Drosophila melanogaster: one gene and its partners. The protein of the gene in region 2 interacts with the protein of the main gene of each other region in a pairwise test. Each region holds a gene or a part of one and is shown on either strand. Other genes may lie near its edges.

The links.
Region 1: the proteins of C901 (region 2) and Plap interact in a two-hybrid assay, tested with the Drosophila melanogaster proteins (one large-scale study listed by BioGRID).
Region 3: the proteins of C901 (region 2) and vvl interact in a two-hybrid assay, tested with the Drosophila melanogaster proteins (one large-scale study listed by BioGRID).

Annotation. Positions count from the first base shown.
Region 1 is NT_033779.5:1,168,561-1,172,314, forward strand, and holds the start of Plap (phospholipase A2 activator protein), read right to left. Parts: upstream 1,806-3,754; 5' UTR 1,804-1,805; coding exon of another isoform or gene 1,674-1,803; 5' UTR 1,668-1,673; exon of another isoform or gene 1,621-1,667; intron 1,520-1,620; exon of another isoform or gene 1,399-1,519; 5' UTR 1,226-1,398; coding exon 1,068-1,225; intron 1,002-1,067; coding exon 135-1,001; intron 79-134; coding exon 1-78. Other genes in the region: CG31922 (uncharacterized protein), read left to right, coding at 1,674-1,803, 1,859-1,993, 2,051-2,205; charon, read right to left, coding at 2,233-2,396, 2,470-3,083, 3,154-3,353, 3,463-3,754.
Region 2 is NC_004354.4:10,965,527-10,969,280, forward strand, and holds the start of C901 (C901), read right to left. Parts: upstream 1,609-3,754; 5' UTR 1,542-1,608; intron 1,029-1,541; 5' UTR 1,027-1,028; coding exon 889-1,026; intron 823-888; coding exon 684-822; intron 624-683; coding exon 465-623; intron 257-464; coding exon 65-256; intron 1-64. Other genes in the region: vex (vexed), read right to left, coding at 3,218-3,754.
Region 3 is NT_037436.4:6,788,015-6,791,768, forward strand, and holds the start of vvl (ventral veins lacking), read left to right. Parts: upstream 1-2,143; 5' UTR 2,144-2,811; coding exon 2,812-3,754. UniProt on the Drosophila melanogaster protein: Binds to a DNA sequence element required for the expression of the dopa decarboxylase gene (Ddc) in specific dopaminergic neurons. Could also play an early role in specific ectodermal cells, and a subsequent role in the embryonic nervous system.

The DNA of each region.
Region 1 (3,754 bases), on a different chromosome or scaffold from region 2:
GAACCATCGGCATGGCGCACCATCTTCGTTTGACCCTCGCGCGTTCCATTGGACAGAAGAGCCTCCGGACCTGGAAGGCTGAAGAAGGATAACCATATGTTTAGTTCTATAAGACAGATCCACTTGTAGCATACTCAGTTTTCTTGACGCCACCAATCTCCTCATTAATCTGAGACTTTCTAGTTGCCACTACTAAGTCGAAGGCTTTAAGGACTGCTTCACTTGCTTGGCGAGCAGGAACGTGGCTGAATACCCTCACCACACCATCGCTACAGCCGGTGACAATGTCCCCGTTCTGTAGGCACGTTACGGACCACACTGAAATGCCGGGATGGATGATGGGTGCTCCCAGCTCATCGCCGGTGATCACATTCCACATGCGCAACGTGCTGTCCTCGCCGCAGGAGACCACCACTTGGTCGCCCAGAGCCTCATTGCGAGCCATGGAGTAGATGTAGTTGCTGTGTCCGTTCATCTCGCGCACGCACTCACCATCCTCGTTCCAGAAGCGGAGAACAGCGTCATTTCCGCAGGAGAGCAGTGTGTTCGCATCCAGTCCCATGACACCCCTCACGCAATCCGTGTGACCCTTAAGCAGGCGCAGCTTCTCGCCTTTCGCGTTCCAGTAGTAGATGTTCCTGTCCGCACCACCAGTCACATACTTCCGCTGCTCCTTCAAGGTGGCCACCGCCCAAACCGCCGCCTCGTGTCCCTCTAAAGCAACGAAGGACACATCACCCGCCTCGCTGATGGTCCACACCCGAGCGGTCTTGTCCCAGCTGCCGCTGATGAGGCTTCGTGGCTCCAATCCTGCCGAGAGAGCACACACCGTGGACTCGTGACCCTTGAGGGTCAACAGGGGCACAAAGCCGTCCTGCTTGTAGATGCAGATGGTGGCGTCGTTGCTGGCCGTGCAGATCCACCGCTCCGACTCCAGGAAGCAGATGTACGAGATGAAGTTCTTGTGGTCCTGCAAAGTAAGGCTTTCCAAGTACTCGTTCCTATGAGGATCGAAGGCAGTTTAGTATGTATGTAATTCATAGCGACCAGACCCAGCCAAATCTCACCCATGGGGCTTCCAGACTTTGGTGCTCTTGTCCCGCGAACCGGACAGAATGGTCTGGCGACCTTCCGGAGTTGGAGGTCCCACCGCTACCGCCCGCACATCCATGCTGTGGCCCAGGAGCTCGCAGCTCAGCTTGTAGTTGTCCAACGATGGCTCCATGCTTGGTGTCCTGATCTTCCTGTTATCCCGTTCAAGCAGCTGCGGTCAAGAAATGTTACTTTGTTTGCCGGCTGTCAGCGATTTTGCCATTCGGTGCGAAAAAATCGCACACTCAGATAGTGGTGGACCGATCCGATGGGTTTGAGGTCAATAGACGATAGTTTCTGAATATTCTAACGGCCAAATTTATAAATTTAAAAATAAAAAAATTCTGGGTATTCGGAATATGTAATGTCCTTAAAAATTGTATATCTAATTTTTAAATAGGTCGAATACAGACAATTATTGTACGATAATAATTTGTTTTCAAAATGTTCGATATCAAAAAGGTTCATGAAGGTGGTAGTGTTGGTAAAGTTATCGATGCTCCGGAAAACTATCGAGAACGGCTTGATAACATTTGCCATCTCTACGCTTAAAAGTATTGTATTATTTTGTTTACATTTAAATGGGTGGCAAAAGTTATTATTGCGACTACTGCTGTTGCTTTCTGAAAAACGATCTGAATGTGAGGAAATTGCACAATGGTGGTATTGCACACGCAATTGCAAAGAGCAACTATTTGAAGCGTTACGAGGGTAAAGCTTTTGTTGCACGATATTCCCGAAAAAGCTGAATTTTCAATATTTGTAGATCCCAAAAAGATTTTGACTGAAGAGCGGCAGAAAACTCCTTGCAAGCGATACTTTGGCAGTTACTGCAAGTTTGAAACATATTGCAAGTTTACCCACTATAGTGGCGATAATCTACGGGAACTGGAGAAGTTGGGTGCGTGATAAAACGCAGATTTAAAACGAAAAATAACTTCTTCTTGAAAACTTTCAGTTCTCGCTAGAAAGAAGAGAAAATCCCGAAAGAAAACCAACAAATGCAAGAGATGGCCCTGGAAAACTCATCTGCGAAAGGGATTACCCCCTTCCTTGCAACCCATTAACCCGGAAAAACTCAAGCAAACCGACTTTGAACTCAGTTGGGGCTAAATATATTTACAGAATGCACACTTTATGTCAAGTATTCAGTATGCTAATTACTTTCTCCATGACGCGCGCCACTTTCAGGTTGATGCGCAACGTGCGAGCGTATTCGTAGTGATACGATTTCGGGGAATGCCCGCTTAAGTTCTCCTCGTCGGGATCGGCCAAGTGCGCAAGCAGGAAGTAGCACAAGTGTTCTGTACAAATAGGAAACTTTAAAGCTTAATCGGACTTCTTCAACTACTAATATACTAATAGACAGCAACCTACCCTGCTCCCCTTCCACGGCGTAGAAAAGCGGTGGGTTTCCGCCCCTCGCCTCGGATGCATTGATGACATCCCGCTTATGTGCACGGTTCTTTAGCAACGTCTTGTTCAGCTCCAGCCGTTCGCAGGCACGATCGTAGTACTTGGCGAAGCCCTTCTCGTCCCACTCATTCGGATTCGCTGCCTCCAGGGTTCTCCTGTACACCGTTTCCCCCAGCTCGCGCTCGTCTATACTATCAAGGATTGCCTCGACAACAAGGAACTGGTTATTGCGCACTGCCAGGTGCAAAACTGTATAACCATCATCGTTGGTTAGCAGAAGACTGTTCAAATCGATTCTGCGCAACAGCAGCCTAATGGACTCTATATTTATATGGTTTATCACCGCCAGATGAAGAGCTGTGTTTGAGTTCTCGTAGAGGTGGTCGGTCATCATGCGAGCGTCCAGGATGAGCGATACAATCTCGGTGTCCGTGTCGTTCGTCAGCGCAAGTTCCAGGCAGTCCTCGCCGTCCCTGGTGAGTAGTTCGTTGATGTCCATTTTCGCGTGGCAGCACACAAATATCTGACGCTTAACGCCGTAAACATCGCCGTGCAGTATTTCCTCGTGAATGGGTCTGAAGTGCCATGTGAAAAGATGATATCATTACGATGATGATGGTCTTATTCGGCTAAATGAATACTTACAGCAATCCTTCTTCGGACATTATGTGCGACTTTCTGAATTCGTTGGCCATGATGCGTATAATGCGGTCCTCGGTGTTTCCGCTTATAAAGTTTTCCACCCGGGTCAACTCATCGGAGTTGAACGATATATCCGACAAGGTAGAGTTTCGGCGTACAGGGGTTTTATTCGTGATCTGATATGATTCGAAGTTTTGCGCTTGCTGTAAGAAAGATATTTATAATAAAATCGTATATATATTTCCATTCGAGATTTATGAACTTAGTACTTTCCAGGAGGAACTACTACATCATAATAATACTTGTACTTACGGTGACATCCCTTTTCTTCCGTTTAGTGATCACGGGCGTCAGTTGCTTCTCCTCGCGCTCCTTAAGCGCCATCTCAGCCGCTGATCGCTTGACCACCTGTGGCACGCAGGTGTTTCGCTTTCTACCGCGCTTTTTAGGAACTTTGGTCGGATCTACTGGCGGTTTTATAGGTTCGGAACTTGAACTGGTCATGTGGCTATGCCTATTCCCTTTGGCTTCGCATGAATTATTTGTAATGCCAGGCATATGCGTTTCCTCGGTGTCCCAATCCGTTTGTGTAGATGAATCGACT
Region 2 (3,754 bases):
GGCGGAATGGAGTTTGGGATTAGTAGGGTGAATGGCGGATTCCTTTGGTGGTTGCAGGACTTACGCGTCTGGCAAAGTAGTCCGGTATATCCGGGTAGGCAGAGGCATTCCAGTGGCTTGTTGCAGGTGCCGTGCTGACAGCCCGGCATCGTGGCGCATTCGGAGCAGGTGCGTCCAGCATAACCAATCCGGCAGCGGCACTCCCCAGGCGCTTCGCAATATCCACGGGTGCTGTGGCATCCGGTACGGCAACTTGCTTTGGTTGCGCGCGGATTGGAGGAAACAGGCAATTGAGTAATCGGATTGGACAGAGTTAGGAATGTTTGATTTGATTGGAAATGTCATATAACAAGTACAACCCCCAAAACGATATTAGTTCCCTATGTTTTAACTCCTTCTCTAAATGCTCCGTTCTTTAAATGTAAGATTGTAATCAGGCTTATCCTTTTCCGGTAACTACTTACGTTCCGTGCAGAAGAGTCCCGCCCAGCCAGGCTTACAGATGCACTCGAATGGCTTGGTGCATCCGCCATGTTGGCAACCTGGAAGCGGAATGCACTTGTCGCAGAGTTCGCCGCTGTATCCGATGCGACACCTGCATTCACCGGGTCGCTGGCAATAACCTGTGTGAATGTGAGTTCAGGGGTCACAAGATAGGGAATCATCTGAAGGAGTAAACATACCATTCATCGGGTCACAGCCCCTTCGACACATAGGCACCTGGCAAAGATCACCCTGCCACCCAGGAAGGCACTTGAAGTCACCTTTTTCATCGCAAACATAGTGTGCATTTTGCCGCTGTTTCTGTGATTTCTCACAGGCCTTAGGTAATCGAATATTTTCGGAATTGGTTCGAGAAAATTATGAACGTTAGGTTCTCCAACTTACTCGCTGTTTCCAGAGTGGAATATTCGAATTACTACTTTGCCGCGCATCGAAGTTGCGTCTATAGGCATTCATTTCCTCCAATTTGAGGGCGGTAATCGCGGTCACCAGCAGGAGAGCCGCCTTTTTGTCTGACAACATATCTAAGTCCGATTTAATAATAATATAATAAGTGTTTGTTGTTTCTATTAATAAATATAATATTATTAATATTATACGTTTGACTACTCCGTTAAAATTCCCTGCAAATAATGGCTTTTATGTGTACATAAAAAGCAAGATCATCTAAGTCGGATCTAACGACCTCTTCACAAAAAAAGTTTCTTAGACTTTAAACCAACTTAATGTGCTGAACTTTATGACTGAATAAAGAAAACCTAAGTGTAGGCCTTGTCAAATGTCTAGATGTTTTCGATTATCGGCTTAAACGAAAAGTGTTTTCGTTTGGCCAAACTTAGACCGTTAAAAGAAATCGACGGCCCACGGCCCCTCGTCGCAATTAACATGTTTGAAGACAACTTTCTTCGCGGCCGAACCAAAAAGAACGGGAATCACACCGCCGACAGAGAACCCGACAACCAAACAACCGATTTCTTGATGAATCACCACTGGCGAGAAGAAATGAAACTTGAAGAATGCAAATGCAAAAGAATTACTTTTAACGGTTAAGACTGCAGCTTCTTGTCGTCGGTCCGTCTCGGTCTGCGATCGCTTTGGGACTAATCAAGTAGCCGCCTCGTCGGACCAGCTGCCTCTGGCCGATTCTCGACTCTTTCTTTAAGTCAAGTCAAGTCAAGTCTTCGCTCTTCTCTCTGTCATTCTTCTGGCCTTCACCGTGAACTCAAGCCTCGAAGCCGAGAGGCAAAGCCAGAGAAAGAGCGCTGAAAGGCACCTAACCGACCATTGGTGGTAATTGGGTCAACCGGTAAACCCAAAACAGCTGAGTACTCAAGCACAGTGGGTCCAGATATGGTTTTTATGGACCACTCTACACTTTGAAAAAGAAGAAAACTAGGAAAACTTGTACCACAAAATCAGGAAATAAATAAAATCTGAAACAATTTTAAATTAATAATGTAATTATACTATAAAGATCTATATGCCTACATATCCAATCTATTAAATGCTTTAATAGCATTAACTATTAAATGTTTCTTTTTATATGCCCAAAAACTATTTATTTTATTTTATTTTACAATTACTTTCGACCCACTGTGCAGCACTGACGATCGAGTCACCAAACAAGTTGTAGATAAACCAGGATGGCTCAAGACTCTAGATTGGTAAATGTTCAAAGACAACATTGGTTTACTTTAAAATTATACTCGTTCTTTATTGAATGATCTCATTATTGGTTTAATTATAATTATAATAATTATTTCGACATTCGTGTGTACCTAAAATCCAGATTAATACTAAGATCCAAACGTTAATTCCGACTCCAGAGGGTTGTCTGCCAGTTGGGTAACCAAAAATTGTGGGCCTTAATCATTTGCTTTTGACAAATGTATCATATATGTTATGTTATGTGTAGAACGTGTGTGTGCTATATGCTTGCGAGTCGGGGGGAACTAACGATTAGACAGATACACTCGTGCACATCCACATACATGTATATATAGGTTCTTTCACTACGCAGCTCGACTCCATTTTCACTGTAGATGTTATGCGGTATTTGATGACTTAGTCTCTAGTTTCTAGTATTATCCGATCCGAGATCCGAGCGTCTTCACAGACCCCCAGCATTTATATTGAGTTGTTGATTGGGTCCTGAGCCCAAATGCTTACACGCGAGTGTTTCCTTAACTAATTAGAGAAATGCTAACCGAAGGAAGTCCACAGCAGCCGTGATATCAATATGGTTATATGATGAATATCATGTGTGTGGAGGAGATCATAAGTCTTTGGAAGTTTTTTTTTAAATTTATAAAGTATCTAAGAGAGCAGAAGTTAGTAGTCCGAAATTGTAGAACCCCTCGAAAACTTCAGAAATATGTGATATTCCTCCATATATACCCTATATTTCACTGGCAGTGTATCCTTTATTTCCGGTTCTCTTCTCTAGCGAGACAAACAAAAAAAAAAATCCTGACCTCATCACACATACATATACATACATATGCTATGATCTTCTTAATCCACTGGCTTAATGTTTAAACGCTTACATACGATGGGGTACTTTATTGATTTTGGGCCGGAAGTGAGGGGGCGTGGCAGGGGCGCGGGTGATATGATATGATATGATGAGTGGGGGAGACCGTACACCATAACCTACACGGAGAAAAAAAAAAATGGACACCGCAACTTGAGTGGGCGGCATGACCACGTCGCCTTAGACGAAGATGAACTGGGCGTGGCCGCACTTCTTGGGCGGACCGACGGTCAGACGGAGCCATTTGCCGCGGCACGACGGCGCCGGCAGCGCGCTCCAACGTGTCGTGCGTCCGGCCAGCCCCTCCCCCCGGCAATGGTAGGTGGGCGGCAGCGTGGGCGAGGGCGTGGCCGGCACAGCGCTGCGCTTTCCCGCTGTCCGGCGGCTGTGCGACATTTGCGACATCTGCGACTGCCGCTGGTGACGGTAGTCGGTACTCTCGTTGCTGTCCGAGTCCAGGGCATTCTGCAGGTCATCCTGCTCATCCTGCTCCGGCTCCTCATCCTCCTCCTCCGCCTCGCCATCCTGATTGGTCGCCTCCTCTTCGCTGCTGGTCTCACGCTGCAGTCGCTCCTCCTCAAGGTCATCCGTACGCTGGCCAAAGGCAGAGGCTGCGGATGAAACTGTGGTCGTGGACGGCGTAGTGGGTCCTTGTGGTGTCCTGGCGGTGGTGGAGCTGCCGGCTGAGTCTTGGATCAATGCCTCAAGGTCACAGCG
Region 3 (3,754 bases), on a different chromosome or scaffold from region 2:
ATCACCGAGGGAGGATGGCCAGCAGAAACAGGATTTCTTCCTTCGCTTCGACATTTGAAATTTAAATACCAGCGTTTTTTTTTTGTTTTTTGTTTTTTACTCACTCGCTGTTGTTATTTAGCGCCGCCACCTAATTATCATGTAAATTTTTGTCTAAGGACCAACAATGACTGTGACTTTATTTTGTCACTGGGGTTTTTGGGTTGGAAACGCTTGGCTTATTAATTATGCCCAAGTGCGTGGCCAAAGGATATGGTCATGGAAAAAAAAACGTAAACAAATTTCATGCAAATACGCTCGAACTTGTCTGGCTTGCGTCTGCTCGGCTGGATGACCTTAGTTTGCATAATTTTTTGATTGAGCTCTTGACCTGCCTCAAAGGGGTCTAAAACTATGCTAAGTATTTTGTGGTGGGTGTTTATGGGATTCTTGGGCTAGTTATGTGTGCCAGGATTTATTAAATGAGAAAATATATGAGAGGGTAGCTTTGAACATTTTATGCATTAATTAAATATATTTTTTAAGTGGGAAAATTCTGAATATATGTTGACATATTTAAGGGAAATAGTGGGAAAATAATAAGTAATTTTTTTTTTAGAAAGGTAAATTTGGTTAAATAAGCTATTTTATGTCTGCATATATACATTTGACGGCAATTGGCTTTGAAGGCGAAATAGATTTCCATTGATTGTGTGCAGAGTTTCATTCATTCATTGTTTTAGGAAACATAAACTTTTACGGATATTTTTCATTTGATTCTTCGCATTGTCCCATAACGCTCCGCTAAATCAAAAAACTTTAAAACTGCACAGCCAGAAACAAAAGTCAGTATTCCAATGATAACTTTAACGATGGCAATTCCTTTAGCTATGCAAATGTATCGCTAGTTTCGCATTAATTTCGCAAAACTGATCATAGAATCAATGAAACTGACGGATGAAGTGAATCAATATCTTTTGTCAGTGAAACATAATTTAACTGTAAAGCAGTCAAAACACAGTCACAAACACAATGAGCAAAAGAAAGATATCAAGGTGGAAAAGAAAGGTATATTTTATGTAGGCAGCCAAACGAAACTTATATGCATATGAAAAAGAAAATTATAAAATATTCATCGGTAAAATGGTTATTTTTTTAAACGAAAATTTTAAATATCATTTCATACTAAACACTAATTTACTTTCTTTAATTTAATTAAGCTTCACTCACACATATTATAAACTGAAAAAATACAAATAAGATTTTCTTATATAACACATTGGTTAAATATTTAATGGGACACGGTCTATATAAAAAATATTTTCAACAGAATTCAGCGAAATTTGAATTGTCCAAATTCAAGTTCAAGATTTATTTATTTTTCATATTGATAATCAAATATTATTTGCTCTTAAATATTTTTACTATGCACACTTTTTTGGATGAACGATAAATAGTTAAATATTTAAACTGTTTATTTGTTTAATTCCTTTTCTACGCCACGTTAGTAATATGTTCTTCAAATCGCAATGGCAACCACTCCAGATGTCCCCCCTCCCAAACAAACACACACACTCACAAAGCCAAGGGAAAAGTTGTCTGGCCAAGGAGCTGCAAGGAACTGAAACAAAGCTCCCCGAACGGGAGAGAGAAGTCCTGGACGCAAAAGCTCCAACTGGGAGATGGCACTACGTGTAATCCCTGTGTTCCCGATAGCTGGACTCGAAGAAATCGAGAGATGCGCCGTCGCCGTTCATATCATCTCTCGCCCTCTCTCGCTCGCACTGGGCACTGGGCAATTAAAAATGTCACTCTGCATGGGAATGCACTGAGGGAACTTCGTAGAGCCGGCTCTGGTATTATTTTTTCATCTCATATATTTTTTTTGTTTTTGTTGGTTTTGGGGGCGTAACGCTGGAATACAGCGAGCCCAATAGAGCGCAAGTCTCCCTTCCAGTTGCTCGGTAGAGCGTCTATCTCGCTTGCCGCACCAATGGCGGTGCTGCTCGCACACATGGAACGCTGGAAGGCCAGCGGACAAACTGGTTTCGCTCGCCGGGGTGTGTGTGCGTACTGCGCTCGTTGGTGTGCGTAAACGTATCGGTGTGACGTACCGCCGAGCGTCGAGAGCGCTCAACGTAGAGCTGCGGTGCGAGACATGACGTTAGTTCACTTCGATAGCTCTACGAGTCTGCACGTGAATTTTCCCTGGGCTCTCGGCTGTCTTGACTGCTCAAATCTCACAACACACAATCTCAAATCTCAATCGGCATCGAATCGGTCAAGCAACCCAGTAGAAACACACATTCGAGAAATCTCAATCTGTATCTGAATATCAGAGTTCTGCGTTCTGACCACTGAGTTCTATCGATGATTTAAATCGTTGCGAAAAATCGCCACAAAAAGTGCCAAGTGTTAGAAGTGCTAAATGAAATTCGAAAATAAAAAAATCTAAATAAATAACCAAATAAAACGCAGTTAGCTCAACGCTAGTCAAGCTAAATAAACGTGAAACCCCAAGCAAATTGCCGTCGGATTTTTTACTTAACCCAAAGCTGAAATAAACTTGTTGAACGCGTTCGAGGGCCACGCCCCCAAAAAAGCAAACGTCGAACCCAAAAAAAAACAAAATAAGCGAAATAGAATATTTTTGCGCCTGCCACGTTGCCCGTAAAAGACGTCAAGACGGTTGCCTCACGGTTCGAGTGGAATGAGCATAGGGACCCTGGTCTTCCTTTCGATCGATCGGTGTACAAAGTCGTTAAACTGAGCCCCAACTTGGAGCCCTACCCCGCCAGCGTGGAGGGCCTGAACAGCCCCAGAGCGGTGGGGATGGCCGCGACCTCGTACATGACGCCGCCGAGCGGTGATCTGGACATGGCCCTCGGAGGCGGTGGCTATCACACCTCGTCGCCGCGCTCGGCGGCTGATGCCGGTGAAATGAAGTACATGCAGCACCATCATCATCATCATGCCGCTGCCGCGGCAGCTGCCCACCATCAGTTGCCCTCGTCGCCATCGCCCAATGGCCAGGGCAATGGTGGCGGACTTGGATTGGGTTCCGGTTCCGGGTTGGGCTCATGGAGTGCCCTCCATCCGGATCCGTGGATGCAAACCCATCATACGCACCATCTGCCCGCCGCCGCTGCCGTTGCCTCGGCCGCTGATACCGTCAAGCAGGAGATGTCGCATCTCTCGCAGCAGACGCGCATCCAACAGGGCATGGCCTCGCCCCATGCCGCCTGGCATGCCCCCCATGCGGGACACTATGCGCCAACGGGCGGGTCACCGTTGCAGTACCATCATGCCATGAACGGAATGCTCCATCATCCGGCCCATGCGGTTGCAGCGGCCCATCATCAGAGTGTGGCGCCACTGCATCATACGCTGCGCGGGGAATCGCCACAGCTGCACATACACCATCACATGGGCGGCGGCGATCGGGATGCCATAAGCGGCGGCGAGGAGGACACTCCCACGTCCGATGATCTGGAGGCCTTTGCCAAGCAGTTCAAGCAGCGCCGAATCAAGCTGGGCTTTACCCAGGCCGATGTGGGCCTGGCACTGGGCACTCTCTATGGCAATGTGTTCTCCCAGACGACCATCTGCAGATTCGAGGCACTGCAGCTGAGCTTCAAGAACATGTGCAAGCTGAAGCCGCTGCTGCAGAAGTGGCTGGAGGAGGCGGACTCCACAACGGGTTCACCCACGTCCATTGACAAGATCGCCGCTCAGGGGCGTAAGCGCAAGAAACGCACCAGCATCGAGGTGAGCG